Linked DNA regions of Struthio camelus. The protein of the gene in region 3 purifies or fractionates together with the protein of the main gene of each other region. This does not show direct contact. Links are inferred from orthologs where the notes say so. Each region holds a gene or a part of one and is shown on either strand. Other genes may lie near its edges. The genes, in order: NAP1L4, BUD23 and UBE2O.

Region 1 (10,224 bases), on a different chromosome or scaffold from region 3:
TCCTATATGTCTCAGTTTTCCTTGAGAAGCCAGCATTGTGAACAAGGAGAACGTCTGCTTCATAAGCATCTGTGAGTTGACAGGCCTAAGCATTGTCTATTTAGAAAGTTCAGTGCACACAAAGAGGTAACTCCAGTAGAGAGTTACCTCTTGCTGCTAAAATGCTTTACCTTGATGCATAGACAAACAGGAAATGACTTCATTCTCTCCAAACAAGATGAGACTTTTGCCCAAGTATGGAGTTCCTTTTTCCAAAAGCAGCAAGTGAATCAGAAAACAATGACCTTGGCGAAGAATCAGAAAAACAGATTTTGTCTCGTGGAGTTTGTATCAAAACACAAGCTCCAAAACTACTTCAGATCAGTTATTTTGATTCTCTAGGCAGCCACAGTTTAGCAAAAAATAATAGCATGTGCAGTGTCCCAGCAAAGGAAAGCTTGTTAGCAAACAAAGGAATGCTGCAAGCAGGTTTAGATATACACTGTTTAAGCAGACTTTCTGGAAGTAGGTGGGTCAACTGATCTATGCAGTCATTGAAATGCACAACACAATACCTCTTCCCTAGCAATCCATCAAGGTGTCACTTAAATGAATTCCACTGCACTGGCTTAGTGAGAGTGACTTGGCAGCCAGAAAAACAGAATGCAACAGCAATGGTCTGCATTCAATGTCTTCGTCGCCTGTCTCAGTAAAGAAAAGGGAAAGGACAGGCTCTAGTGTATTCTAAAACTTGTGATTAGATAGATAATGTGTATATGTACATATACACACACTGAAGGAATCAAATGTGGAATATGAATTTCTAAGCATTAAGAAAATAATCCCAATAGCAATGAAGTGTTGGATTTTTAAAAATATTTTCTGGAACATACGTGCACAGCTTGTTTTGATCTGTAGAAAATGAAGCTTTCTATTTTCCCACAGGGTTTTCTGGTTATCTCTGAGATTCTTTTCATGATTACTGTAATTTTTCTCAGTAACAATCAAGATAGCCACTGCGTTTTTGGGGGCCAATAAACCGTCTTTTTTTTAAGCTGCCATCTTTTGGGACGTGCAAGTATTACTGTCTCTTCCTGGGTGAATTCTGTCATTCAGCTGGGCATCAACAAGTGATTTTGAGCGTTCAGCTCAAAGCTTTGTTAAATAAATCTGATCTCTGGATGGGGAAGAAGCTTCCATGTTTTATGATCATGCAGGTATAAACTTACATGTCACAACGCTGAGACCTCTTCAGACTCATAGGTCACTTCTAAAACAGTATCTTTCTTTAACCTCTAAAACCACTCGATGTTTGTGACAAGAGAGCATATGACAGCAAACAGTTCAAATTAAGGGGAAATTGCAAAGCTGGTAGCTGGTATCTCAAATAATCTCTCCTCTCGCCCTCCCAAAAACTACTGCCTGCTTTGTTCAAATCTTAAATGTATTTTACAATTACTGAATTCTTTTGGGGAGGCAAGGGAGGGAGCGATACTAACGTCTGACTAGAGCACTGCAGCCTCAGCATTCTTTGAAGTTGCTTTCAAGTTATTTTTAACGTTACTTAAGTTAACTGCAAGTCGGAACGATTATGGCTTTTCCACGATTCATTTTGTAAGTGTGTTTTTTTAAAGTTTCCCATAGCCTCACATTAAAAGCATGCGGTACCTTTCTTCCCAATACATATTTAGTAATACTTACTTAGCAGTATCTCCATGTTGTGCTTATGCACCTACACTGGAATAAGCGTAAGGTAACACAGTGCTTTATTTGACACCTGTTTCCCATATAACAAACTAACACAGCTGTTTATGTTCTCTCTCTCTCTCTCTCTCTGAAGTCCAAAAATCCAAATCTCTCTTTGGGCTTCCTTTGTTGATGATGGAAGTCTATTAAAAAATCAAAAGCATTAATGCTCAAGGACATCACTGTTTTGGAGGTAAAGATTTATTTTATGGTGGCACCAGTGACCTGCGGATTATAGACTGCTGCATCCTCATCAGCCTAAACCTTTCAGCAGGATACAAATGTACAATTTGTTGCTGCAATAACCAAATTTTGCTGATGTATTTAATATTGCTCAAACAGCAGTCAGGCACCAATAGCACAAAACTGCCTATTGTCAAGATAATTTGAAACATTATCCCACAAGGATCTCTCTAGTCCTCCTCAAAAACTGCTTCTTACCAGCATAGTGTATAGGAACAAAGTAATCTCAAATATGTATGCGCTAACACTAGGCTACACCTCTGAACGCTGAAGATTGTGCCAATCTGGGTGTTGTCAGGAGGAAGTACTCGGCTAAGTTGGTAAGCCTGTCAGGGCTTCCTTTGCTTGTAACCTCGAGGGGACAAACACTGGATAGAAGCTGACATGAGAAGAAAGACTACCATCAAAGAATTTATCCACAGGCAGCAAGGCAAGGTAAAATAGTGTGGTGTTTCTTGGTTTTAACTGCATCCTTTCTGTGAAGTGCTGAAGGCCAAACTTGGAAGCAGCAAATACAGCTTCTGTGTTTTGCTCAGCATGCCTTTCAGCCTTTTGAGAGCTGTGAATACTGCTGCACTAATAAGAACAAGTTCCTCCATGCAGCTTCCAAACACAGTACTCCCATCACTCAGTTTGTTCAGATACTGGTAGAAAAATGTGTGAATTATCTGATCCGATCTTATTACCACCAGTCTTCATTCTTTACAAAGACTTTAAAGTCCCTAATTACATTGAAGATATTCTTTTTGATCTCTTTTTCCTAATGTTTATATTCGCTTTCCACCTTTCTGGGAACCCACAGATGCATTTTAAATGCGCCGATCAGCAAATCTCGGCCACATACAATATACCTGCAGCTTCTTTATCTATATTTTAAACTACGCTTTAACACTTTAAGGTGGTGGAGCTTGTTGGATCCACTTGAGCTCCCTCCTTTAAGATTACACAATTTCTGCTGCACAAATATGGAAAGGAACTTTTGCTCCTCTTGGTGATTTCGCAGGACATTTTCTATGCAGGCCACTGTAGCACTTGCATATTTCTCATCTCTCCTGACATAGGACAAATTAATTAAGAAGTGTATTAGCTATTTAGTACCAAGCCTCCACTTAGCAATGATCAAAGCACTTCTTGTCCCTGAAGAGTCATAGACAAACCAAATCTTATCTCTCAAAATGGGTTGTGAATGTCTGGCATGTCATTCAGTGAAACGGGTTTGCATTAATGCCCACCCAAGGGCAGAACACACAGCGCTCTCTCTCAGTGCCAGTCACAGATCTCAGCCTAAGCTTTCTCTCTAAAAACAGGTGTGTCAAGTGTATAGCAGCTCTGCCATCATCCCTTCTGTTTCTGTTTTGGTTCTCCAAGCTCTCCTGTCTGCTAGCCTGGGCGTTTAAATCAAGCCAGGGTGATTCAGCAAAAATCTTTTTGCAGCTCTGGCTCTCTGCAGGGCAGGAGCACCTGACAGCAAGATGACTCCACAGATTGTGCCTCGGCCACAGTCCTAAAGTCTGCCATCATGCTGCAAGAGGTTAGACACCAGTCAGCAAAAATCCCTCCTTGATCATGGAGGATTTATGCCTTTGGATTTAAAGTAATTTAAATGTATTTTACTTCAACATGAACGAAGAGAGAAAATACTTCCAGCACTCTGGCCTGTTTCAAGGCTTTCATAACTGGTCCAGAAGAAAGCAAATCTCTTTCTACAAGACCATCTGAGATATAATTTAATTCAGGGTTTGCAGCATTTATGAGAATAACTACATTAGCAAGAGAGGCACTAGCGCAGAGGCAGAAACTGCCCATCCCGCCACAGAGGCTGCAGTATTGCAACTAATAATCTGAACAGGGCTGCAATGTGATCCTGCAATAGCAGGAACGAGCAGCTACATCATGTACTCAAGCAAAGCTTGCTAAATCTTCATATGGCACAGTAGCTGACTCCAAACTTCTTTTGGGGAGCAAGGGAGAAATAGCTTTTAACAAATAGAGGTTAACAAACAAACCCAAAAACCCTGACAGAATACTTGACAGCTATGTATGAATCAGCAGCAAGAACAAAAATTTCAAGTATGAATAATTTCAGAAAAATCCTCCTTTCAGAGTTCATTATGGTCTCTTATGGACAAGTGACAATTAAGCGTAACTTAGTGATCATGAATGGAGTTGTCCCAAAATAAAGGTAATGAAAGCAAGAAGAGGCCGTTAACTTTTTGAAGTTCGGAGAAAGATTGGTTTGGATGGACAAGGAGAGAAGGCGGGAGCAAACCTTAGACCTGCCGCTGAGCCTGTCCTTGAGCTGGCCAAATCTGCTTGCTTGTGCTACTGACTCCCCAAAATTCCTGCAATACTTTAGCTGTTTGAGTAATTACTTTTTTTCTTTTATTATTGGTACCTGCTTTTAACTGATGATGCACTCATTAGTCCTGCCATTAAGTTCCTGCAATAACTGAATTAATCTAGTGTTAATGTAGTGATTGGTTGTTAATTGTTAAACATCAGTCCCATAATTTCAATGTTTCATCAGTGAAATGACTGTGACGATTAACCCTGGAAATTAATTACTGAAATCCAAGACTACGTTAGTAGACCTGTAGGAAATCTTTTTTTTTTTTTTGTTTTGAATAAGGAATCTAGTGATTCAGTAAAGGGTTAAATGCTTTTTCCTATTGAGTGAGGGGATTATTCATATGAACTCCAAGTGGCTCCAAACGCTAAAACCGCCTTGTTCTCAAGAGGACATTACAGGGCATCTGTTGCTCACGCATCCCCATACAAACACCGGCCTTTTGTTGTTGGTGGGTTTTTTTTCCCTCTCCTCTCTTCCTCAGGAGAGGGAATTACACCCGTACCTAGCCTTAGAAACAAAGCCCGAAAGCTTAAACATCTTTAAACGGGTGCTCCACCTGAAGCACCAGACAGGGCCTGTTCTTCCTCACAGGAAGCGCCGCGCCCGTTACCCAACGCCCACCCGCCGCCATTTTGCCCCGCCCCTGCCTCTGTCCCTTTAAGGACACGAGCCGCCCTGTCCCCCCTCTCCCCCCCCCCCGCGCGTCACGCGCTCTCTCCGCGCGCCGCCAGCTCCGCGCGCACCTTTCCCCAAGCGCGCCCCCCCCACCCCCGGTGCCCGGCGCTGCCGCGTTCGCCCTCTGATTGGCTGAGCGCCGCGCCGTCGGATAGTCAACATGGCCCGCGTGCGGCGCGGCGGCCACCGCTGCGCCAGGGCCAATCAGCGGCGCCTTTACTGAGGGAGGCGCCCGCGCCTCGGCCAATGGGAGGGGGCTTTCTTGGCGGCGGCGCAGCCCGAGTGCGCCTGAGAGGAGCCTGGCGGCTGGCGCTGCTGCCTCTGCGGGCGTGAGGGGACGCGGGGCGCGGGCAGGTGAGGCGCGGCGGGGCCGCGGCGCCGCCCTCTCGGCCCCCGGGCGGGCGGAGGTCGGCGGGACCCGCGGAGGAGTCCGCGCTGGCCGCCGCGACCGCAGCGCGGGGCCGGGGCGCGCGTGCGGCGGCCGTTGGGGCCTGCTCGGGGTGGGGCTCGGCCGGCGGAGGGGCCGCCTGGAGGCGCCTGGCGGAGAGGGGCGGGCCCGGCCCAGTCAGGCACCATTTTAAGGCTGGCTTGGGGAGTTTGGGCCGGGGGAAGGGGATGTCCTGCCCGCTGTGAGGCTGGCAGCGGGAGAGGGAGCGTGTCCGGCCGCATGTATGGCTGCCCTCGCCCTCCCCGGGGAGCCTGGCAGCGCGCCCTCCCTTCCCCCGCCCTCCCGAGGGAAGTGGGGGAGGAAGAGGGTGGGAGGGCTGTTGTCTGTGGTGAACTCTCTTTTCTCCGTCTCTCTCACCGCGCAGTGCTCGGATTGAGTCAAACCCTTAGCTGCCTCGAGTCAGGCGCGATCCTTTCATTTGACCTCATCGATGATCTTGCGTTTCCTCAGCCTGCTACGGGGTTTCTGGGGTTCAGTTTTTCATTTCCATGTCCCACCTCCCTCTCCGAAAGTGAGCGGTTTTTTTTTTTTTTTCCAAGTTTTCGCTGCTACTACGATCGTTTTCCACACATGATAGGAGTGTATATGGGATCTGCCAGAGTCGGTTCCTGTAAAATCTGCTTATGAGGCCCCAATATTGAAAGGTACAGGAGCAAGTATGCAAGTTATAGATGAAGGTGGAATCAGTAGGCAAGTTTATGTAAAGTCATCTCTAACTGAAATAGTGTTTCCTCAAGAAAGTTTCGAAGACAAGTTTAAGTACTGCTAATGTTCAGGGCTTGTGGAACAGGTTAATAAGTTTCTTTTGGCTTTTTTTTTCTTCTTAATTATGGCTTCTAATTTCCCATGCAAAAAGTATAAGACTGTTTGTGGCTTCCCACAGAGTTGCATCCCAACAGCTCTAAAACGGAAGTCATAACTTTCTTCTCTCGTTTGTTGTAGTTACGGAAAGCAGTAACAGTTATGGCTAGAAGTCTTTCTGTGCCTTTAGAAGCCCGTTATTGACTTGCTTTGTTATCTGGCTCTGTTTTGAAGATCTGCACAGCAAGAAATAAGCTTTTTTTTTTTTTTTTTTTTTTAGCAGAGAGAGCTTATTTTCCATATTTTAATCTATTTGTGAATGTCTCTTGCTTTTAAATGTACAGGCCTTTTTAAAGCTGTATCTTTCAGGCTTTTACATGTCCTTTTAATGAAGTTTTGGTATCTTGGAGTACTGGGAGCGTGCATCATTCTGAGTTTCCATTTTTCTGCTCTTTTAGGTGACTAGTGCTATATGACGTTTGTGCCAGATAAATTTCAATTGCAGCAGCCGGCTTTGTGGGACAAGTGGTTGGTGTGCTCTCCTCCTCCCACAGAGCTTCACATTTGTAATACTTATTTGAAAACAGTGAACTGTCCAGAGGAAATGAGATACAAATTTGGGTTTCTTACTGATGGTGGCAGCGATAATGATAATACCTTACACTATCCTTCTGAATTTTTGGTTATTCTTTGAATGTCTTTATTGCCTACAAACTCAGAAAGTTAACTAAGGCAATAAATATGAAGGGTTGATGCTCTGCTTCTGTACAGTTTCAAGCAGATGTGCATTTAAATTTGTCTCCCTGAAGTCACCTTGCTCTTCCCTCCCTTCCCTTGCCCTGGCTTTTATAGAACAGTTTTAATAGTAAGTCTGTAGCAGCTGAGTTATTGGAAGGTACCTCTGTAAAGCTGCTGGGGTTCACAGGGTGTGTTTGTCTTTTAAAACTTTATTTATTTATTTCAGGGAAGTTTCTTATCACTTCTATTCATGTAATTCTCTTCACTTTCAGTTACTGGGGGAACAACTTTGAGGAAACAAACAAGACTTGAAGCATGTATTTGCACCAGGGAATGGTGTCTTACCAGTTTTTCATTCCCAATCCTTAGGTGAATGGCCTGTAACAGAACATGGCAATTTCATGTCTGTTCCAGTAGAATTTAATTCAGCTGCCATTTAAAAGTTATTCAAGTTATGGCAACTTTATTCCATGTTTTCTTAACATGAGGGAGAATCTTGTCTTCCTCCACAGGGTTGAGAAATAGTTACCTGCAGGAAATGTAGTACAAATCTTCTGTTCATTTATTTGTACGTGAAGTGGAATTTTTCCATTAGCTCTGTTTCTGGGTCTGATTTGGAAGGCATGAGTCTTCCAGGCTAATTTCTCAGTAATGCGTGTCTACGTTTTTTAGTTGCTTGCTATTGCTTCCTCTAATAGTGACTAGGATCATATAACTTGTTGGCTGAACTCAGGTATTAGGTCAATTTACCATCTCTTACCTTTTTAATCGTAACTTCTTTTTTTTTTTTTTCTGCCTTTGGTCAGCTATGGAAGGAAAAACTGATGTGTATGCTTTTTATTCCTTCAACTGTAAGATAGTAAAGTTCTTTCCTTTTACTTTGGAAGGTGATTGCTTGCATTGTCACTTTCTCTTGTTATGCTTAAAGCAAGAATTACTGTTTGCAAGTAAATATGCCTGGGTTGCTGAAACACCTGGTCTACAATAAGACCCTTATTTTTTCCCGGACTTCATCTGTAGCATGGAGATGATGATAGGGTGGACTCATAGGCTTTTTGATGGGTGTCAGGCAGCTTCCCCCCTTGTAGAATAATCTAAAATATACTCCCAGTACTGCTGTAAATGAGCAAAACTTTTCAGCCCTGTATAAGTGGTTATAAAAATGATAATTTTTTTTTTCTAGCCTGGAACAAGAATCAGTGTTGTGCAGCTGGCAGAGTGCATGGATTCTCTGACCCCCTGTTTTGACTGCCACTCAAGATGTCATTAGGGCTTACATTCCTCTGAGGTGGCTGTCTGTTGGAAGCTGAGCTGAAGATCAGCCTGCTTTGCCTTTATAGACTCTTAAGAAGTCAGACCTGTTTACTCGTATGAATGATGGAAGGTTGTCTTTATTCTTAAGCATGACTTGCAGAGTGACATCTGCTTTCTTGAGAGCGTGGTAAAGGTGCATAATATCGCCTATACTTCTGTACAGTTTGTAGTGATTACTTGGATTTACCATGAACTGTGTCTAGAATGCACAGAAGTACCATATTACTAGAATAGATTTATGAGCTTGTATATTTCACCACTGATAACAGCTAAAGAAATAACAGCAAAGTAAATTGGGCAATCTGACTCTGTTTTCTCAGGAGAGCTAATTTAAATCTTGGGGTGGGGTAGGATAGCTAGATTAAACTTGGTTCCAACCATTGCTATTACTAAGGCTTTAACTTTCCTGTTTCCTGTTTGTTTTCTCACTCCCAGTAAATTCAAGCCAAATTTTAATGTAGAGAGCTCTTTCTTCTTAGCTGCTGATAAAAACGCTCCTCTTGGTAAAGACAGTGCAGAAACAGCTACTCACAAAAATAGACCCAATTAGACAGCAGGTGAGGCATGTTTTTTCTGCCTAGGTGACATGAGAAAAGTCTTTCTGAAGTTGTTGTAATGCACTTTCATCATTTCCGTATCAGGCATAGTAATATGCACAGATTAAAAATTCAGCGTTTGCTGTGATGGTGTGTAGGAGTAAGGGAATAGAATATTTTTTTCTTTTATTTTTCTTTCTTTCTTTTTTTTTTTTTTTTTGGAACACAGATGCAGTCTAGGAAACTCTGTGAGACTTGTTTCAGTGTAGGATGAAGACTTGTTTTATGCACTGGTAGGAACAGATTATAGGCTGGATTCCTTAACGATAAAATGAGTTTTAAAAGGGTTAGATGAAAGCTCCTAGCAGGCTGTTTTAAAAACTACCAGCAGGTTTCCAGCTGGATGGGATATATATGGTAACTATTCACTTTATTGCAAGAGATCATGCACAATGACTTTTTTTAGCAAAACCAGCAGCTCTTAATTTATCTTAAACTTCTAAACAGTAACCTTTTATTTTCATCTTCTGCTGAGGTAAACAGATTACTGTTAAGGTCTTTTTTAAAAACTATATTTCAACTTGCAGGTGGATACAGGCATACAGATGGCAGATAACAGGTATGTTGGACTATATTTTCTTGAAATTAAATTTATGTAGCTATACCCCAGCCAGTGGGGTATATTTACTAATAGGCTAAGGAAGTAATAACAAGCGTGCCAAAGGCATAGTTTTGTTTTCTAGTTTGTAAGCGTTTTTAGAATAAATAGCAAGTTTAAAAAAAAAAATACTATTATCTGTTTAACTTGCTGTTTGTGGTACTGCAGTAGTCCCTTTCAAGGGACTGCACAGGAGTAAGTTGAATAACTTAGTCTGGTAACTAGTAATATCCATTTGCGTATGTGATAATTGCTTCTCCTTTTGTATCTGAGTTAAGATTCATTTTAGCAATTCCTAACCTATGTTCTGTGACGTGTGAACTGGCTGGAAATATGGGAATACTTACTGACTGCTGACTCTTTTGGGGTCTGTCTTCCTCCAGCAGAGGAAATACAATGGAAGATATGTGGGGGGGGAGAGAGGGAGCATCTCTTCCTAGAGTAAAGTGGATGTTTTTACTGTTAATCAAAACAATTTGGTATAGAAATTGTAGTCAAAGAACTCTGATCTTACTTGTTGATCTTGACACAAAAAATCATGTCTTTTAGTGGTATGCATCTTTATAAATCTTGCCCTGTAATAAACACTGAAAATTCAGAATGTTTCTATGCTTAAATATTACACTTTTACGAAGTGATTTCTTTCAGTATGTTTAATTTCTAATTCTTTTAGTAAAGCAGAAGATACTGCTTCAGATTCTGTGGAGGCTGCTAAAAATGCAAGTGACAAAAAAGG
Region 2 (10,224 bases), on a different chromosome or scaffold from region 3:
TCTCACAGCAACACAAACTTAAGAGCTGGCAAGAATGGTTGCAGTGGTAACAGCAAAGAACCAGTATCTAGCATGCATACAACACACCATATACTGCAAAGGCAGATGTAATGTGCAGTTGCAGGGCAGTGAAGAAGGGGGAGGAGGTAGGGTATGTTAAAAAACATACAAAACATGGACCCAGTGAGCTCTAGGGTGAGGAGGAAGAAATTCCCACCATGAACATCCCACTCCTCCCAGAGAAGGCCTCAGGATGCTGACAGCTCTCAATAATTCCCACCCTGACTGAAACTGCTGTCCTCAGCACCCAGAGGGCAAGTACTAGGAGGGGGGCTATATAACTGTAACTGCAGTATATTACTGAGATTTCTTTTGTAGTAATTGGATATCTGGACTTAGAATCATTATAACTGGACTAACAATTACTGTCTGCCACATTTTGCTGATACTCTCAAGTAGACTGAAAATGAATTCCTGGCTTTACTTATATGGTATATTCCCCTTTCTGCCCACAACGGAGGAGGCTCAGCCCAGTGTCAGCAGCACCAAGCCCCACTGTCTCTTCTGCATTTGGCTATGGCATCTTTCAGCAGCTTCTTTTCCAAATGATGGCCAAGCCTGCAGTAGACGTGGGAATGGAAGAAAAGCCCTATCTCCAGTTCCTAGCTGTAACCCGTACCCACAGCTGCCTTGTCCCCAGCGATGGGAGGTGCAGACCAGGGTAGCAGGCAGTTGCAGCCATATCTGAGCCCAGCACAGAGCCCAGCACCCCGGGGAGCCCAGCAGAGCTGGCAGAGGGCAGCCCACTAATGAACCTCTCTCCCAGGGGAGCACACACACAGGGGAGCTGCCCCAGGCCTTTGCATGCAGCCTAGGCGTGCCTGGGAGACCAGTGTCAATCACCATATAACCCTGCAGGGAAGCAGCAGGGAAAGCTGCCCTTTTCCAGAATGTAGGAGATGGGCTCCATGTTTTAAAGAAACAACCTTCTGTGGCTCAGCATCCCCAAGGATCTTTCGCTGTTGTCCTTAGGAGAGTGTGAGGAAGAGTGAACTCCCTATGGCTCTCGATGATCTGCCCTGGCTTTCTCCCTGTCTGAAGACAGCTCTGTAACCCTCCCCCGTTGCTCAGCATCCCACCAACATGTGCAGTGAATAGTGAATTCTTGTCAACAGTACTATGATCACTGCCACAGGAGAGGTGGAACATGGGGTTTAAATACGGAGGAGGACACTGTGCAGCAAGTTTTACACATCCTATCATTCCTGCTCTTGCCGTAATTTCCTCTCCTTTTTCCCTTTGAGGTTTAGCTCCTGGTGGGCTTGTAAAGCTCACACAGTCCCCTGCCATTATACCACTGCTGTCATGGTTAGACTCAGTTGGATTTCCTCTAGCGCTTGTGCCATAGTCACCCCATAAGGACTGCTCTCACCTGGCTAAAGGAAAACAGAAAGAAATCTAGTCGCTTTTGGCACCTCTCCATCAGGGAAAGAGAGTAACTATTAAACCAGACGACAGTATAGACATAAGAAAACAAAAGGGTAGAAACTTTGTATGCTGGGGAGAAATTAAGTCTAGGAATTTGGACTAGCTCCAGCCACTACCCGTCTGAGCTTCTGAAATCCTTCCTGGAAAAGCTAAGTACACAGGCCTGATCAGCATGGAAGTACACCGTAACACCCTGAGTGACAGACTGCATGCCTCAAAGGATCCCTCCATGCCCTGCATGCTGCGCCTACCTCTTCTCCTACCAAATTCCACAAGAAAACTAAACCTTGTCTGCAGCATTTGCTCGCTCCTTCCCAGAGAAGGCGGTGAGCACAGTGGGTGCTTCAGAACTGCAAAGCAACCCAGGTATGTTAGAAGAGGCACAGTGCAGGTCTGCAGCTGGCAGGAATGAAGTATGCAAAGGATTGGGGAGGCTCATGTTTCCCACTGACTGCAAGCAGCATGTCCATCTTCCCCAATAGGCCCTTGGAACAGACAGGAATCCCCCATCTTCCTCATCCTGCTGCAGTCACCATATGAAAATGCTAGCCTGTCGCCCACCCTCCAGTTTCCAGGAATTATAAAGAAATGTACCACCCAAGCCCACCAGAAGAAAGAGATGTGTCATTTCATCACCAGTTTATGAGATGGGTAACTTTAATGTTCAAGATCTGTCAGGGAGACCTGAGGAAGAACCAGCAATACTGCATTGTCCAAATCATCCATTCTAAGGCACGCAGATTAGTTCAGTCTCGGTATTTGACCCCCCACATTTCAGACACAAGCATCAGACACAGAGCAGGAGAGTCAGCTGGCTTACTGGAGCAGCTCATCTCCTTTCTCAGAGTTAAGGAGCAGAGCAATGCAGGAAGCACAGCAGCTAGCCATGTTTCCTCCTGCTCCCGTTCAAGAGGGGAACACCACAGCATCCTGCCACTGCAGGACACCAGACCCTCTCTTTGCCTGGCAGCAGACTTGCGGCTGGGTTTGGGAGCCTGGTGGCTCCCTAGAAAGCAACTAGATTTCTTGCTGGAGTCCTGGTGGGCTGCAGTTACAGCCTACACCTTCTGGTCCTCATCACTATATACAGATTAAAGAAAGATCAGGGGACATACATCACCCCGTCCTCCCCACCCCCCCAGCCTTTGGCAGGGCTGCCTTAAAAATACACAGGCCAGACAGGTGTTCCCATGTAATGCATACCACTTCCCATGGACTTCCCTAGCTCTTCCAGCCTGGAAGAGAACGTTACCTGCCAAACCCTGTCTGGGGAGCAGCCTCTGATCTTTCAAGTGACTTCGCTTACAGCATGAAAGAGCACCACTGAGTGACACAGAGCCGCAATTCCAGAGTTTTTCCCCCCCCCCCCCATGCCCAACACACTAAAATGCCAGACTCCAAGTGCTCTTCACAAGCTGACATTTCAAGACTAGAATCTATGTTACCTCATACAGGGGTAAACGGACAACCAGAGGGGATCCTGGAAAGCTCTCTTTCCGCCCCGGACTAATTTTGCTCTGGAGCCTGTATTTGAAAATGGAGCAATTCTTTCCAGAAGCAGCTCTCAAGAACCCAGCTGAAAACTCTCCTATACCAGCTATATACCAGCACATACTCTATACCAGTAGGTACTACATGCTCTGCTATGCTACCGCCTTAAGCTTGTGGCAATATCACAGAACTCACCAGCTGTAGTACACAAGGCATTTGTTTTTAACATGCCTGTGCTGGGAGAAAACACAACCCAGGATCACTGCAGTGAGAGACGGCAGCTTGACTTCTGTGCAGCCATCTGCCAGACAGGCCCAGAAAATCCAGTGCAAATAAATGCATGTGAAGTCTTTGGCACACTAAGACTTGCAGTTCTATGTTACAGCAAGCTTTCACTCACTCCATGTAATACAAACATAACATAGGTGAAGCCTTCACCCAAGGAGAGACAGAGGCTCTAAGAACACAATCTTTAGTTCCTAAAGCACTTCACTGCTTAAACAGGCAAATACTCTAAGTGCAAAGGATGCTTAAACACATGTAAAACACAAATAATGTCATTCTGTACCCAGAAATGTACCACTCCAAGCCATTAAGGCCTGTATAAGATGGTCTTGTGCAAAGTTCCTGTCAAGCCCCAGACAGGACAGGCTATTCTGAACTGCATCTCCAAGGCAGCAGGCAGCATCTCCAAGGAGAAGCAGGTGTTGTCACATGCTGACCAGGACATGGGCAGCCACTAGCCCAAGTTTCACTCTTCCATGAATGACAGCTGAACATGAGACCTCCACACTCACTAGGGAGTGAAGCTCCGAAGTGGGACAGATAAGAGCAATGACGCAGTCTGGAGACCAACACTCCTGAAACTCCCCATAGATGTGGTAACAAGTATGAAAGCATGGAGGCAGCAGGACTCAGTGAGAGATTTCTGGAAAACCACAGGGAGCCATTACTCTGCATGAGCGAGAGCATCACCTATGAAAACACACAGCATACAAACGCTGTTGGCAACCATTTAATCTCCGCTGCAGCTCAGGAGTGTAGGTGCATGGTTCCTGCCAGGGTCAGACAGCAGCACCAGAGGAGGGAATATAGTCACAGTCTGTGAAGCAGAGTCCATGAACCACGTTTGTGTACCTTGCACTGTTTCTGCAGGTCTTGCCAGCAGAAGGGGCACATCACAGCTCATAGAGTAGAACCCATGTGTGGTACCTGCTGGTCACACACGTTGTCTGAAGGTCACTGGTGGAATGGACACATCACAGCCACTCGCTGCCCGCTGATCACACCTGGTGTCTGAAGGTCACACTGGCAGAGGGGACACATCACAGCCTGTAGAGCAGAGCCCATGTACAGTGCCTGCTGGCCACGCACTGTGTCCATCACACTGTGGAGAGGAAACGTCACAGCCTGCAGAGCAGAGACTACACATGGCTGCCAGTCACGCACCCCACCCGCCAATCACGTTGGCAGAGGGGACAGCTCACAGTTGGCGTACCTTGCCCAGCAGTTGCACTCCATGCCTGCCAGGGCGGTGCAGCCGGCTGGCAGCCTGGCAGCTCCCCAGCACTCTCTGCGGGGGCCGGCCCCGCCACTACTTGAAACCATAGAGCAGGGCGAACCCCAGGAAGAAGATGAGCCCAACAGAGAGGTCAGGCAGGAGGTGGAGGCGGCCGCGGGCTGCGGCCTCCTCGCGGCGGAGGCGCAGCTGCTCACGGCGGGCCCGCAGCGCCTGCTCCCGCTCCAGCTGCGCCCCGTAGTGCGCGCGGTAGAAGGCGTCAAAGTCGAAGGGCGGCGGCACGCGGCCTCGGCGGCCGGCGGCCGTGCTGGAGGCGCGCGGCGGCGGTGCCGGGGCGGGCGGCGGCGGACGGCCCGAGGGCTTGGCGGCCCCCTGCAGGTCCTCGCGGCTGAGGACGCCGCGGTCGTACTTGCGGCGCAGCGCAGCGCTGCCCAGCACCAGGTAGGCCTCGCTGATGGCGGTGAAGCGCTGGGCCGCCTCGGCGCTGCCCGCGTTGCGGTCCGGGTGGTACCGGAACGACTGCTCGTAATAGGCCGCCTTGATCTGCGCCTGCGTGGCCGTAGCCGGGACACCCAACAGCTCGTAGAGGTCGCGGCGTGGCCGCGGGGCGCCGTCGCGCCCCTGCCCGCCGTGGAACTGCGCGACGGCGCGGCCGGGCCGCGGGGCCCCCGCCGCAGCGGGCAGGAGGCGCCGCAGACGGCAGCCCAGCGCCGCCGGCACCATGGCGGCCCCCGCGCCGCCGGCAATCGCCGCGGGGGGCGGGAGGGGAGGAGCGGTGCGGCGTGACGCGCGCGGCGCGACGCCAGGCGCCGGGCGGTGACGTCAGGGAGGCAGCATGGCGGGCAGCGGGCGGCGGCCCGAGCACCGCGGGCCGCCCGAGCTGGTGAGGCGGCGCGGGCGCGGGCGCGGGCGCGGGCGCACTTCAGCCTCGCTGACTCTCTCATCTCCTGCAGTTCTACGACGAGGCTGAGGCCCGAAAGTACACGCAGAAGTAAGGCGCCTCCGGGACGCGCGGGGCCTGGCGGTTCCGCGGCTGTCTGGCCCCGGCCGGGGCCTTGTGCCGTGAGCCCGGGGCTCGTCTGGCCTCGTAACCCCCCCCAGTGACACCCCTCCTCCCCGCCGCGCCTTGCAGCTCCCGCGTGGTGGAGATCCAGTCGCAGATGTCAGAGCGGGCTGTGGAGCTGCTGGGGCTGCCCGAGGACCGGCCGTGCCTCCTGCTGGACGTGGGGTGAGAGGGGCGACCCTGCCGCCGCGGGGTCACCGGCTACACGGTCGGGCACACGGGGGCTTGGCCCGTGGGCACCGTAGCAGGGGATGGTGCCTGGATGCGAGAGTCATCCTGGTCCTGTGACCCTGGTTTCTCTCCACTGTGGTCTGGGAAGGAGGGGCAGGTTACTGTGACCATGTAGGTGATGGGGATTGCCCTTGGTTGGGGCTGGTTGTCTCTGTGTTGTTACCCCTTTCTCCCTTTAGCTGTGGCTCTGGGCTGAGTGGTGATTACATCTCTGAAGAGGGGCACTACTGGATTGGCATGGACATCAGCTCTGCTATGCTGGGTAGGTAGACCCTCTGCCCTGCAGCCTTCTGTGCCACCAGAGGTGTTCTGCAAAGGTGTGAGCTCGTACCCTGAGTTGTCCTTTGTTCTGTACAGACGTAGCCCTGGAGAGGGAGGTGGAAGGAGACCTTCTCCTTGCAGATGTGGGCCATGGCATTCCCTTCAGGCCAGGCATATTTGATGGCTGCATCAGGTGAGTTTGTGCACATAACTGAGCTCTTTTGGTACTTTGTGTAGCTGTGCTACCTATTCTGCACAGTATACAAAAACTACGTGTCATGCATACCGGAGTACGCGTCTTTTTTATCAGTTGCTCTTCTTGTTCCATGTGACTTGGCTCCAGCTCTCTGGAACAAGCTGCTGAGATTCTGGATTGTAGAAGCAGCTTCCAGCAGCTGTTCCCCGCTGATGCTTGTCTTTTCTTGTGGTGATGGGCTAGGAAAGCTTACTGAGATAAATAAAATAGGGGATTGTGTCTGGAGGTGTGAGACCTGCTGCTAGGAGAAAAATATAAAGTATATTTGTACCATGCTCATCTATGAGGTCAGTCAGTGGACGAAAGTTTTGATGGTTCGTTTTGGGATGAGGGGCTAGGTGGAGGAAAAAGAAACACTTTTCTGTTTAGAGAATACCCCATAAAAATGATGGGATGGAGTAGAGACCTTCTGTTACCTAACTGAATGCTCTGTTTGGGACTGCTCACTGGCAAAATGTGCATGAGCTGTTTGTGTGAATCAGGGTCACAGCCAAGCACTTCAGTTATTTGAGCATCTGACCTAAAAGAGATGCTTGACGTTTCTGTTGGGCTTGAATCGCTACTGTGTTTTTTTGGGTTTTGGCATGACTCAGTGAGTCTCCAGAGAGATTTATGTAGCACCTTTACTGCAAAATAGAAGGCAAACTATATGAAGAAAATGAAATGAACTGGGGCTGGCCAGGCCCAGCAAATGCTCGATGCTGAAAAAAGTTTGAAGGGAGGGGACAGGCTTTGCTAAAGAATTGATGGCTCAGTGTCCTGGAGGTCTCATGTTTTGTCTTAGTATTTCTGCAGTGCAATGGCTTTGTAATGCTGATAAGAAGTCACACAGTCCTCCAAAACGCCTTTATCAGTTCTTTTCAACTCTTTATACTGCCTTGGTAAGTGCTGTGCTGTCTCAGCCAGGCATCTAGCTACTTTTACATCCTCACTAGTGCATTTTAGCAAGACATTTTGCAAGTCCAAGTTACTGAAATCTAGGACCAACAGGAGTATCTGCTTCCCATCTCCTTTCCTGCCTGCATGGTGTCCCTCATTTCCCTATTCCCTGCTCCCTGCATCAGCACTGTTAGCCCTGTGCCTTGCTGTGCTAGCAAGAAGCTGGCTCTGCAGGCTGAGCAGCTCACCTGGGACTTTGGGTCCAGCAGGTTTTGGGTGAGGTGGATGCTTATATCTGGGCTGGGAATTGGATTCCTTGGGGGGAAGCCTGTACTGAGATAGGTTTGTGACTTTCTTTCCTGTAGGCCCGAGGATCCCGAGCTGTCCTGCAGCTGTACCCTGAGAACTCAGAACAGGTACAGGATGTCAGTCATTGGGGAGGAGGGATGGGCAGAGCCAGGGAGAGGAGCTATTTGCTGTTTGAGGCTCAGAATTTGTCATTTTTCCTGAAGTGTAGTGTATTTCTCGTTCCTTCTTGCCAACAGTAAAGCTCTGCAGGGAGCCAAAAAAAGACCCATAAGCAGAATGCCCCACACAATTCCCATTGCTTCACAGACTGCCTTGTGCTAAGCCTTAAAATCAAATGAGTTGGCAGGACATGATCTGAATTTGCTGTGCTGAACTTTCCCTTGTGTGACTGGGGTTGAAAGCTAGGCTCTAGTTATATATGCTGCACCATAACTCCCCAGGGCTGGATAGTCCAGCCCAGCGTTGCCCTCCTAGAGATTCTGCTGTTTCAGTTAGACCAAGCTAGACTAAGGAGCGGGGAGAGACAAAATAAATGCTGCAGACTGTGTCTGAGTCATACTGGAGAGCTAGGGGTTTGATGTAGGGGTTGTTACAGGAGCGGGACAACCCCTTCTTAGGGTGCGCTGTTAGTTGGCGCTGAGCCCGGAGGTGTCTTGTGCATCACCGCTGGATGACGGCTCAATAACTTCTGTACATGCTTCCTTTTCTAGCTGGAGCTCATCACAGCCCAAGCCATGAGGGCTGGCTTTACTGGGGGAATGGTGGTAGATTACCCCAACAGTGCCAAAGCTAAGAAGTGAGTCCTGTTCTGTTTTGTATGGGGTTTTGGGGGTGTGAGCCCTAGGTCCAGCATTGATTTTTTCCAAGCTGTTTTTCTCTCTTCCATGTCCCTGTCCTGGGCAGAGGTGACAGCTTAGATCTGACTCTGTTACATGTGATCTAGTTTTGTTTGGAGACTCGGAATCACATGCTGAATCCTGGCTTCATGCTGCTCTTCTCATTCTTGCTCTTTCAGGTTCTTCCTCTGTCTCTTTGTTGGGGCATCCAGCACGTTACCAAAGGTGAGGTGCTCCGCCAGGCAGTGGAGATGCATCCCCTCTCCCCTAAGGATCCTGAGCACTGGAACAGGTTGCCCAGAGAGGTTGTGCAGTCTCCTTCCCTGGAGATATTCAAAACCCACCTGGACACGATCCTGGGCAATGTGCTCTCAATGACCCTGCTTGAGCAGGAGGGTTGGACTAGATGATCTCCAGAGGTCCCTTCCAACCTTGGCCATTTTGTGATTCTGTGATTCCTGGCTGCTGGGCGATATGGAAGAGCTGTGGGTAAAGGGAATTCACAGAGTGGGAGCCAGACACATGCAAACATGACTTTATTCATGTGCTTGCTGTTGGTCTCACCAGCCCTTGCCCTCCCCAAGGTCCAGTTTCCTTGTGACAATTGCTGGAAGATCAGTTTGCTCCCGTCCCAGTCTGTCCCCTGCGTTCTCTTCTATTTAGATGGCAGTGACCATTAGCTCTGTCTGCTCCAGATGAGAAACTTGTTGGTTTTGCTTTTCAGGGCCTTGGTACTGAGTGTGCTGATGAAGAGATACACCAGGCAAAGTTCACAAATGAAAGGTATTGTGTGGGGCGGAGTGGTATATCCTCTCCCCAAGGAAGAAGTGTAGGGGCTGCATAGGGGCTGGGTTTTGCTGAGTGAGGACGAGGGTACTGCCACTGTGAAATGGCTGAAGGGAAGGGACTAGGGGCCCTAGGAGGATCCTTAGCAGCCTGGAGGGGCAGTGCTTTATGACATTGAAGGGCCCCAGACACGAGCCTGTCTAGTTTGACTGGAGAGCTCAGCCTTGGCATTGTGTGACTGAATCATGGTGTTCCTATTGGAACTGCAGCTAAGCGTTCAGTCTGAGGTGTGCTTTCTGTCCAGCACTCAGCTTGCCAGCTCAGTGCTGGAGCGTAGGCATGTGGTGGTGGGATGAGGAGTGTCTACAGTGGCCAACCATTGCTTTTTTGTCAAGGAAGCAGGCTCGTGTGCCTGAAGCCCAGCGTTCCCTTCCTTCCACTGTCAAATTCTTCACTGTCAGACTGTTGTGAGCTGTGGCCTGGGGTTTTTTCTCTTGCTGGCCAGGTCTCTTCCCATGACAGTGGTGCAGGGAAGCACTCCCCTTGCAGCCAGTGGGAGAGACGGAACAAAAGCTAGAGGAAAGTCGTCGTGGCTGCCAGGAGTTGGTGGCTGCCATGTTTTCCTGCCTCTTACAGTGCTCTGCTCTGCTCTACCCCCTCTGGTCTGGGGGGTACCTGGGCTTGGAGGGGAAGGGCAGAACTGGCAACTTGTTCAGAAGCTAGATGCTTCATCTGCTTGTTCAGACTAGAGCGGACAAGGGAAAGGCAGCTGCGCTAAGCCCATGTTCCCCAGAGATCCCAGAGCCTAGCATGCTGCAGCCTGTGGAGGACAGATGCCCTTTGCTCAGAGCTGGTGCTAGCAGCAGCTTAGTACCTGCACTGCTGCCATTTGCCTGTGTATCTGGAGCTGGGCTGTTTGTTGGCCACCTGTTCCAGCTGCTTCTTCCCATCCTCTGGAGGAATGGGTTGTGAGTTGTCACTATTCCTACAGAGCAGAGGACAAGATGAGTTGTGAATGGGAATCCTCCAGGCTGCAAGAGTGTGTTTCTCCCACCTCAGTTCCTGCTCAGCTCCTGTTTGTTGTCTCTGTAGGACACGGTTCAGA
Region 3 (10,224 bases):
ATGCTGAACATTAAAAATAGTGTCTTTCCTCTGAAGAGGGGAGAATAACTGAGGTCACCTGGCATAAGTAAGCAAGACCTAGCCCCCCAAAAGCATCTGTTACAGATTCTGCCTTTTAAGTTCAATAAAGAGTCTTTCGCCAAAAAAAAAAGTAACTACCAAATTGCTTAAAGCCACTTGTCTGGGGAAGTCTGTATCTGAGCTGGGTAAACACAAGCAAAGGAGAAGTCTTTATGAGAAAGTTACAGCAAAATGCCTCATTCGTATAAGTATTTCAAAGCCCGTCACAGACTTGGATTCATTCCTCCTAAAGCTTTTAGTGCACATTAGTTAACTGTTTACTACTCCAAAGAGCGTTACCAATTTTAACTATTCGCTAGCTATACCGACACACTGAAAGCGAGAGAACCTTGGAAGAGATGCTCCATCACACAGCAACTGCTTGCTTGGTGAGAGATTCTATCCATTTTAAACACGACATTCCTGACTATATTTTGAATAATTATAGTTAATTACCTAGCTCAAGCGTCCACTAGTGCTCTTGAATGATCAATTCAGTCTGTACTATACACTCAAAATAACTCTCTATACAATAATACTGTATACTACTTAGCACTCAGGAGACTTCCATACTGCATGTTGCACAGGATGCCATTTTTGCAATAAAAACACTAGCGATGATCCCCAAGCCTATAATGCAAGAGTCAAACAAATCAAAGTCCTTAGCCTGCAAAACAAAAAGGGGAATCAAGTTAAGGGAAAGTAGCCTTGCAGTGACTAGCCAAAGGATTGAATGGTTACCCTTTAAAGTGATTCTGTCTTGCGTAGAACTGCAAAAATTCCAGTAAGCCTTTTCTCTCCTCCTGTCCTTAACAGCTATGAAAGTCAAATGGTTTCAAAAAAAACCCCTGAGAGACTAACTGAAATGTCAGAAGCAAGAAGAGGGTTAGATATAGCTTCCTCACGCAATAAAAAAAAAAACAGTATTAATAGTTTACGGGCATTGAATTTGCGTGTTTCACTACAGTTCTGAACTGTGATCAGCATGTACTCATGGCTCCTGAAAAGGACTCATACTTGTGCAAGCTAGAACCATCCATCTTTACCTGCTGGAATTTAAGCACTCAACGCCACTGCATTTCTAGGCAGAGAACACATTGGTGCAGTTTGAAGATGAAAGATTTTTGTAAGGCTTTCAGTGTTTCCATCCCTTAGTCACAAAGAGGTACCACATTCTGTAGCTGCGATTAACATCTGTACAGCCCACATTAGTGTCCTAACTAGAGGAGAAAAACTTTTAAAAAAATAAAAAGAAGAAGAAAAAAACCTAACAGAGATAACCAGCACTTCACAGTATCAGACCACCTGTATCAGTTACAGTTCCTAGTTGGGATCCCAGAGGTGAGGGTTGACAGTGGCTGCAAAGGGACACAGAAGGGAAAATGCCAATCATCACTGAAAAGGAAGTATTTCCTTCTACCATAATATAAGCACAGAAAAAAAATCACAACTTAGAAGTTTAGGTCAAAATATTAATGATAGAGCTCAGAAGAAAAAATACAATATACACAAGAGTCTTGAAATTATGTGGAAATAATGTCTTCAGAAAGTTACATCCATGACTCAATACTTGAGGTTAAGAAATTATAGCAATGAACAGTGGGAAGGAACAGAAGGGTTGTGTGGGATGAAGCAGAGTTGAATTCATAGAGAGACTTGGAGAGATAACATCAGACAATTTCCAGCTAATAAACTGATCAGCTACTGAATTATGTCTGAAGTGCCCTGATAGTTTGAATCTGTTTCCAGGGCAAACCTGAATGGAGTAGAGAGCCATCCAAACCAAGCTGTATTCTGAACTGCGCAAAAACAAAGCAAAAGATTGCTAAAAACGTCCAGCATGTTTGGGCCTTGACTCTTACAGCAATCCTGCGTCCCTACTTGTTCCCTACATGTAAATCAATCAACTCCACTCCTGATACAGAACAGCATTACACCAAGATACTAGCATAAGTATTTCACTCCCAGAGGCATACAAAAGAGCACAAGACGGGGAATTCAGCAGTCTGGCCTGTTGCAGGCCTTTAGATAAGGTGCTGAAATATAACACCTGCACTTTTGTTTTCCTCATACGCAGAACAAGCATATCTGCCTTACACAGGCTTTGTGAGCATTCAAGTTGGTCGAGAACTCTGAGGCTTTCTGATGAGCCAGAGAGAGGAAGACTAGCAGCATTTCAAGGCACTCTCTAAGCCTTACTCATATTTAACACGGTCAAGCATATTTTTTAATTTCCCAAAGGCAGCACAAGTATGCAGTAAGAGTATTAACTTACAGCTGAGAAATTTGGAAATTAAATCTCAGTTGGGTCTCAAATATTACTGCTACTTTGTTAGAAAAGCATCACAAGTTCACACCAATTATCAATATTCTCACAACTTTTGAGTGAAAATTACATCTAGCATACAAACAGTAATATGAAAACAAGAGAGATGGCTTTAACCAGAGGGACTGCTCTTCCGATTCGGTTGCCTGACAGGATGGGAGTTAGACAGGACATAGATGGCAAACGTATTTGGATAGGAAAGGCTTCTCCCAGAACTGCTTGGGTTTTGCATTATTTAGCAACAATGACTTTCCAGTGTTTTGAAAAAGGAAAGCAGTCATGGACAGCAGGAAAGGAGCACACAGAGCCAGAGGATAAGAAATCCTGGCTCTTTTCATTCACATCATTCTCATGATAGTGCTAATGACTATCAACATGGGAATCAAAGGCAGGAATGTGCTCGGATAAACTACTTATTCAGTTGGAAGAGTTCGTGGGCCTTTGTACCAAACGCTTGTCCTATTTCAAGAGAAAGTTTCTATTACTTATTAACATCAGTAATTGTGTGCTGGGGTTTAAGCGGCAGTTTGCCTACCATTTCCAACAGGAAAGAACAAAGGTAAGCATAGAACATCTAGGAAAAACAGTAAAAAGGATTAGCCTATATAGTACCTGGCAGGGAAAAAAAAAAGTTTTAACCCACAAAGTTCAAGCAAAACACAAGAAATCTCTAGGGTTATAATCCAGTTTTTCTGGTTATAAACAACTGCATTTAACCTTTGCACTGGAAGCTGAAGGTACTCTTTCACTGTCCTCAAAATTTGCAACAACTTTGTTTCTCCCCTTCCTCAGTTACAACACATGCTCTTACCAATAAACCTGCCAGGGTTCATAGATCTTTAAGCGCTTGACAAAGAAGGATCCACATGAGAGAGACAGGCACACAAGCGTTTCACATGGGAAAGAAAAATTACCGTACAGAACAGGTATACAATTGTGCAAGATGAGGCTAGCAAGAGCCCTGACCCCAGGGCTACCTTTATCCTCTGACCATTACAGAATTAAGATCGCAGGGAAATGAAAGGTACCTTCAAAGAAACGGAATAGGTACTCTCTTGAATCCAGGGGCTGACTGTGACCAAGACAGTGAGGTTAACATAATAAAGACATCAAATAGAATTCCACAGCTAAAGATGCTGGAGAGTTAGAGGCCTGGCCAAAATAATTATGGTTGGCAACAACATTCTAAAAATTAACAAACTTTAGGCCCAGGACAACCACGTGGTCCTTATGGTTCGTACCCCTCCCAGCTCGGACAACAACAAGCATGTCAGCTTACCTGGCTGGTTCACCCATTAGTATAACGTGAAAGGGCTGGGTTAGAGGAAAGCTAAAAAACCCAGCTATAACCATGAAATGAGAAGTTCTGCAGCGCCTTTCCAGTGGCGTCAGATTTGTTTTTAGTAACCCTAAACTGCAGCGCAGATTGTACACAATGCCTATCCATTTTGTCAGCGGGCAGCTTTTTAAATGGAAAAAAATCAATATGACGGGAGTACACCTAAATTCCTTAGGCACTTAGGGAACTTTTCCCCAGGGGCTATTACCTGAATGGTAAAGCTGCCTACATCAGAGGGATATGACTTTGAAAAGGAAAGAAAGAGGACCATTTATTTACATAATTGCCTTTAACTTCTGATCCTCTGCAGTCTAGCTTTTTCTAATGTTGCGCAGGGTACAGTTAGCAAGTGACTAAAGTCAGAGCTAACACTTCCGAATTTGGGAATCCAGTAACAACTCCTAAGTCCATGTTTAATCACTCAAGTTGAAGTGGCCTCATTTAGAGGCTGAAAACACTCAACTTTGGACATATGTTGATGTAACAGCACACAAAGATTTTATTTGAAGGCTACAGTGATTGAATTGCGGCTCTAGGGAAAGAAGGTTTTTCTTAATGTAGAAATACGTAATGTGGAAATATATTTTCTTGATACCTTGCTTTCATTTTTCTCATCTCCTTACTGGTCACATGCCTAGTGACACTATCACCTAAATTTAGCTCATTCTGGTAGCGTGGGCAATCCTACCAATTTCGGTAGGAGCACAGCACACCTTTCTCTCCGTTTCCTCCTTTCAAAAATCAAGCAGAATGCTAAACAGCAGAGCAGATGGCATACCAGGAGACTCCTGCTTTTAGTTGCCACCCCAGAACAGCGCTCTGACTCGCTCTACTGCAAGGACAGCGCAGGCCTTCTGTTTTGTTCAGTGCAACGCCCATCCCTCGCAGGCCCCTTTGTGTTATATTACAGTGCCCCCTCTCTCTCTTTTGTCTCCTCTGTACTGCCAGTCACTCTGTGCAAAATCTGGCACCAGAATAACTTTGGGAAGTGGCAACGTTCTAACCCAGGCCTAAGAAGTGCCCTGAACCCTGTGGCTCTCTGGATGTAATTAAAAGGTCACAGATTTACCTAGGCCTCATCAAGAGAGGTAAACGTTCATGTAAACAAGGGCAAATCCAAACCACGGTTGCCCACCACTGGGATTTCAGCTAGTCACGATTACTCCGTTTAGCTGTTGGCTCCCCTACAACAGGCTACCATGATGCTGTCCACCGAAGAGACACTGGAGCACATTCCCAGCAAGTAAGAGAGGGTCGGAGAGCTTGCCTCTACTAGGAACTAGCTCAAATCCCCGACTGCACTTCCTCTAGTGCCATTAAAATCCAGTGCCTGGGAGAAACGGCTACGTTTCGACACCGGTGAAGCGCAGGAGCAGCGTTCACTCCAGGCAGGAGGCGAGGAGGATTCACTCCAGCATGACGAAAGACGGGAAACAGATTTCAGCCTCTGGAGGACACAGTCCACCTCCGGCGCTCAGACGCAGCACGCAGCCAGCGGCGGCACTTCTGGCAGGCGAGAGCGGAGGGATAACCACGAGAAGGAGCCGCAGGCCGGCTCCGCGGCCGGGCAGAGCCGCGCAGGCCCCTGCCCCACGAGGCCTCCGGCGCGGGCCGCGTGGGACGGACAAGGCCCCGCGACCGCGCGCCGAACCGGCGAGAACCGGCGGGGAGGCCGCAAAGGCGGCGGGGGGGGGGGGGGGGGACAGGGCGCGCCGCCGCCGCCGCCCGCCCGAGCAGGGGCCGGGGCCGGGGCGAGCCGTTACCTTGGTCTCCTTGACGTGCTGCTTGATGCCCTCCGGGTACCACTGCACCCGCACGTAGCCCCGCCGCAGCGGGCTGGCGCGGCCTTCCTCGGCGCCGCCGGCCCCGGGGCCGCCCGACTCGGAGCCGCCCGAGCTGGCGGCGCCGCCGCCGGTGCCGCGGCCGCCCTCCTCCTCCTCCGAGTCGGAGTCCTCGCCGTGGATGAGGCGCACCAGGCCGAACCGCACCGAGCCGCGGTAGCGGCCCGACACCAGGTCGTGCGAGAAGAGGAGGCGCTGCGAGCCGCCCGGCGGGGCCGGCGCGGGCAGGGGCAGCGCGGCGGGAGCCGGGGCCGGGGCGGCGGGGGCCGGGGCCGCCTCAGCGGGCTGGTCCGCCATGGCGCCGGGCAGAGCGGGGAGAGCGCGCGGCCGCCGGCGCAGGCTGGGGGAGGGGAGGGGAGGGCGGGGGGCGGGGCGGGCGGCGCGCGGGCCCCGCGCATGTAACGGCCCGGGGGCGGGGCCCGACCGCGTCGCCCCGCCCACCGCCAGGCCCCGCCCACCGCGGCGCCGGGCCTGCGCGGGGGGGGGAGAGGGAGGGCTGAGGGGAGGGGCCTGAGGGGAGGGAGGGCTGAGGGGAGAGGGGTGGAGGGAGGAGTGGGCTGAGGGGAGGGAGGGCTGAGGGGAGAGGGGTGGAGGAAGGAGGGGTCTGAGGGGAGGGAGGGCTGAGAGGAGAGGGATGGAGGGAGGAGGGGGCTGAGGGGAGGGAGGGCTGAGGGGAGAGGGATGGAGGGAGGGGAGGGCTGAGGAGAAGGGCCTGAGGGGAAGGAGGGGTGAGAGGGAGGGATGGAGGGAGGAGAGGGCTGAGGAGAGGGGCCTGAGGGGAAGGAGGGGTGAGAGGGAGGGATGGAGGGAGGAGAGGGCTGAGGAGAGGGGCCTGAGGGGAGGGAGGGATGGAGGGAGGAGAGGGCTGAGGAGAGGGGCCTGAGGGGAGGGAGGGGTGAGAGGGAGGGATGGAGGGAGGAGAGGGCTGAGGAGAGGGGCCTGAGGGGAGGGAGGGGTGAGGGGAGAGGGATGGAGGGAGGAGTGGGCTGAGGGGAGAGGGGTGGAGGAAGGAGGGGAGGAAGGAGAGGACTGCGGAGAGAGGGCTGAGAGGAGGAAGGAAGGAGGGCAGAGGAGAGCCAGGGATGAGGAAAGGGAGAGAGGGAGGAGGGAAGAGAGAGGGATTGAGGGAAGAGGGATGGGGAGGGCCCGAGGATGGAGGCAGGAGAAGGGGTGAGGGAGAGAGGGGAGGAGGAGCCGGGGCGGGGGAGGAAGCCCAGGGGGCAGAGAGGAGGACTCCGGGGAGACGGCTGAAGGCACCAAGGGGGAGCAGCCTCCCGCCGCGGCGCCCCCCGGGGCGGCAGCGACCCTGCGCAGCCGGGCCCGTCTCCTCCTCCCGGCCCGAAGCCCCCGTGCTCCGCCGGCTCCCGCCGCCACCACGGCCTCCCGGCGGGGTTGTTCCCAGGGAATTAGGGGCTGCGGCCGAGTCACAGCGGGAACCGCCCCGCGTTTCGGTAGCCCCCGCGCCCGGGGCCGCGCGACACCCCCAGGACGCCACCTCAGGGTCCGAGTGATATGAATCCCACCCGCCATCTCCTCCCTTCCAGCCTAGACTGGTGCTACCAGTCCGGGAGAGCTTCTGGATCTAGCGCGGCCAAGGGAGCGTGGGGGCGCACGAGGCACGGGCCAGCCTCCTGCCAGGTCCCGCACCAGCAGCCACCATCGAGGTCTGGCCACCTTCCGCGTGAGGGGAAAAAATAAAAAAATTAAAAAATATATGACAGGCATTTGAAGGCAAACTCGGAGACGGGGCGGGAAGAGGCAGGAGCCCGGCCTGGCTGGGCTGCTCGGGGCGCTGCCCCTTGTCATGCGCTCCTCCGGGTGCTGAGGTGCTCTCCAGCTGGCAGGAAAGCACGGCTTGGCTTTTTATGACTCCTAGAAATCCTCGTTACGGTGTGCGAAGGAGCCCAATGTTTGGCTTCGTTGACTCTTGTGGATATTTTCCCTTTTATCGGCAGGGATTTTTGAAATAAAAATAATTTCTTGAGAGGGCCTCGCTACCCGGGCAGGGGAAGGGCGAAGCGCATCCCAAATAGCCTTATTTGCCTGTCCTTTACTCAAAGATATCTTGTCACTTCACTCCATAGATCTCCCCGTCTGTGCAGCGCTGGCTGGAATATCAGGAAAATGCTTGAAATCCTCAGCCTGACTCATTTTATTACCAAAAGAAAACAAGAGCAGCATAGCAGTAATCTCCTCCTTTCACTCCCACAAACCCGAGCCCAGGGCTGGCCTGGCTCTATCCACCAGCTGGCTGTAGTTTCTCCTTCCAGGGTTTCTTCTTTCAGGAAAGGGACCGGAAACACAGCTTTTATTTTTAAAGCAGTTCCTGGATTTTTCCATTGGGTTTCTAGTCCTTCTCTGCCAGGAAACAGCACCCACTAGCTGTGCGAATCCGGAGCCTGGCTGTGCACGGAGCCCTCGCTGCAGCGGGCATCTCCCACGAGGGAGAGGTACTAGGAGCAGGATCACGTTTCCGCTCTGCCCAGCTCCTGAGATGTCCTCCTGCAGCGGTGGGTGCAGGGCACGCTTTCGGGCCGCCTTTGGGATGCTCTCATTGATGGCAGAGGGCAAACTATTCCTGACCTGTCTCCAGAGCAGGGAGCTGCAAGCGTTGCAACAGCTCGCAGTGTCTTCCTCCCTCTGGGTCCTAGGTCAGCATGACCCCCACATCAGGATTTAACAGCCTGCATCATTTTAAACAGAGGGGTGTTTTGCTGGTGTAGTTCCCTAGGGGAGCATTTCTCGGCCTTGACCCCAAGGATAAGGAATAGAACAGAGCTAAAAGAGAATGTTGTCCAGGTGGAAAAATATGGAGAAAGACAGTTTAAATATCTGTTCGACGTAACGTGGTTATACAGCTGTCGATATGGGCAGGATGGGCTTGTGGGAATGCAGATCCCCATCCACAAGCAAGAGAGGGCAGGGACCACTGTGAGGTGAACGAGACGAGGGGTGTAAAATCAGTGCTCAGCACTGTCAAACGCGCCTGTGCCGCCAGCACCATTTCACCCTCCTGTGTCACTCAGTCACAGCTGCGCTGGGGAAGGGTGTGCGGCACATCTCCCAAGGCCTGTATAGACAGCCCTGGCACACCCCCACGCTAGGTGCTGTGGGCCTGGTGCCAGCCTCCCTCCCTGGGAAGTCAGGGACAATTGTGGCCTTTCTCTGTGGGAACAGGATCAGGCCCTTTGGAGGGGTACAAGATGCCCTCTTCTTCCATTTGAATTGGCGTTATGTCCTTCTCATCATTCCACGAAAGGCCTAAAGCACAATGTGTATCCAGCGTGGTGATGTTTCTTATCATCTCCTTAATGTACACAGTAACAGCTGCTTATAAAATATAGATATAGTTAATGGGCGTAAACTTGTGTGTAGATGGAAACTGTCCCTCTTCAGAGCAATTACACGCTGCAGAGCAGCAGCGGGATTTCAGGTAGCCACAAATAGCCATACAAGCAATCACCTTATACAACCAGCCAGGCTCACAGCGTGGGGGGTTTAATGGGGCCAAGGCAGGGCTAGCTGGCTGCTAACAGGAGTCGAGCTGGGTGTGTTTTTGCACTCTGAGCTCAAACAGGGCTCTGATGTGCTCTTGTTCGGAAGTGGCACTGAAGAAAGGCTCGTCTTTTCCTTGGGAGCCAGCAGCCCCTGGCCTGGGCTGCTAACACCACTGAGATGCTTCAGGCGTGACAGTCCTTGGCTAGTGAGCATCTCCCCGTCAAGAAGCTAGGCAGTACTAGCTCTCTGGGGCTGGATCCCACATCTCCGCTGAGGGACCCCAGCAAGTCAGACCACTCTGCAAAATACTAAGGCAACACCAAGAAGCATCCTGCAGTTTTGTGTGTGTGATTTTTTTTTGGAGAACCAACTCGACTCAGCAGGTGGTCTGAACACCCAGCACTTGCGCAAGTGACACATGTCAAGCAGACTCCTCCTTTACGGACAGTTGCTGGTGTTGGACTATTTTAGGAATTGCTGTCACTTACTCTCTTTGCAGCACAGTATCTTCCTTGCGAATAAACTGCCTGGGTAACATCCCTGGCTTACCTGCTTCCACACAGAGAGGTTTGTGAAAAGCAAGCCCTGCCCTTCCTCCTCAGGACCTGGCTGGTGCTGGGTGCAGTGAGATGCATCTCTCACGGGGCATCTTTGCGAGGGCTTTGCGGGCCGAAGGGCTGCCTGGCACCCAGGGGTACCTTCAGGGTGCCCGGGGGTGCCAGGGCTGCAGCAAGGCGCCCGGTCACCTCAGCTGAGGAAAGGCTCTGGTGCCATCTCGTGGGCTGCAGCTCCTCTGCTGCAGGGCTGCAAAGGGGCCCGAGGGAGCAGGCCTGCTGGCTGCCGTGCGTTTTGGGAGAAAGAGGACGACACAGATCTTTATGCATACAAGGAGAACAGGCGTTTACCTGTACATTGCAACCCCTTCGTCCGCAGACAGGGTCTTGTCCGCTGGTTTGGGACGTACAGTGGAACTCCTCACCTAAAAGGCAGGGAGTGTGCTCTCAGCACAGATCTTGACTGTGCAGAAGGAAAACTCCTGCTTGGCCAGTCCTTTCAGATATCTTTAGCTTCTTTTGCTGCTTTCTCAGAGGCACACATGTTTCTATACAGCCCATATCCCATGCTTGAAAGAGCTGGGGTGCAGAATACCAGGACAACCC

What was found.
Region 1: the proteins of UBE2O (region 3) and NAP1L4 purify together in Homo sapiens (affinity purification with mass spectrometry; 3 studies listed by BioGRID, with this or other methods). This does not show direct contact. The link is inferred for Struthio camelus from reciprocal best matches to the Homo sapiens genes UBE2O and NAP1L4.
Region 2: the proteins of UBE2O (region 3) and BUD23 purify together in Homo sapiens (affinity purification with mass spectrometry; 5 studies listed by BioGRID and IntAct, counting the BioPlex papers as one, with this or other methods). This does not show direct contact. The link is inferred for Struthio camelus from reciprocal best matches to the Homo sapiens genes UBE2O and BUD23.

What each region holds. Positions count from the first base shown.
Region 1 is NC_090946.1:19,201,506-19,211,729, reverse strand, and holds the start of NAP1L4 (nucleosome assembly protein 1-like 4), read left to right. Parts: upstream 1-5,208; 5' UTR 5,209-5,347; intron 5,348-5,502; exon of another isoform or gene 5,503-5,557; intron 5,558-5,585; exon of another isoform or gene 5,586-6,085; intron 6,086-9,417; 5' UTR 9,418-9,435; coding exon 9,436-9,449; intron 9,450-10,161; coding exon 10,162-10,223; intron 10,224-10,224. UniProt on the Homo sapiens protein: Acts as a histone chaperone in nucleosome assembly.
Region 2 is NC_090957.1:8,903,841-8,914,064, forward strand, and holds the start of BUD23 (18S rRNA (guanine-N(7))-methyltransferase), read left to right. Parts: upstream 1-5,283; 5' UTR 5,284-5,333; coding exon 5,334-5,381; intron 5,382-5,451; coding exon 5,452-5,489; intron 5,490-5,630; coding exon 5,631-5,726; intron 5,727-5,971; coding exon 5,972-6,054; intron 6,055-6,149; coding exon 6,150-6,246; intron 6,247-7,093; coding exon 7,094-7,190; intron 7,191-7,553; coding exon 7,554-7,604; intron 7,605-8,207; coding exon 8,208-8,293; intron 8,294-8,512; coding exon 8,513-8,558; intron 8,559-9,057; coding exon 9,058-9,116; intron 9,117-9,624; exon of another isoform or gene 9,625-9,757; intron 9,758-10,211; coding exon 10,212-10,224. Other genes in the region: DNAJC30 (dnaJ homolog subfamily C member 30, mitochondrial), read right to left, coding at 4,574-5,221.
Region 3 is NC_090960.1:9,206,121-9,216,344, forward strand, and holds the start of UBE2O ((E3-independent) E2 ubiquitin-conjugating enzyme), read right to left. Parts: upstream 5,864-10,224; coding exon 5,489-5,863; intron 1-5,488. UniProt on the Homo sapiens protein: E2/E3 hybrid ubiquitin-protein ligase that displays both E2 and E3 ligase activities and mediates monoubiquitination of target proteins. Negatively regulates TRAF6-mediated NF-kappa-B activation independently of its E2 activity.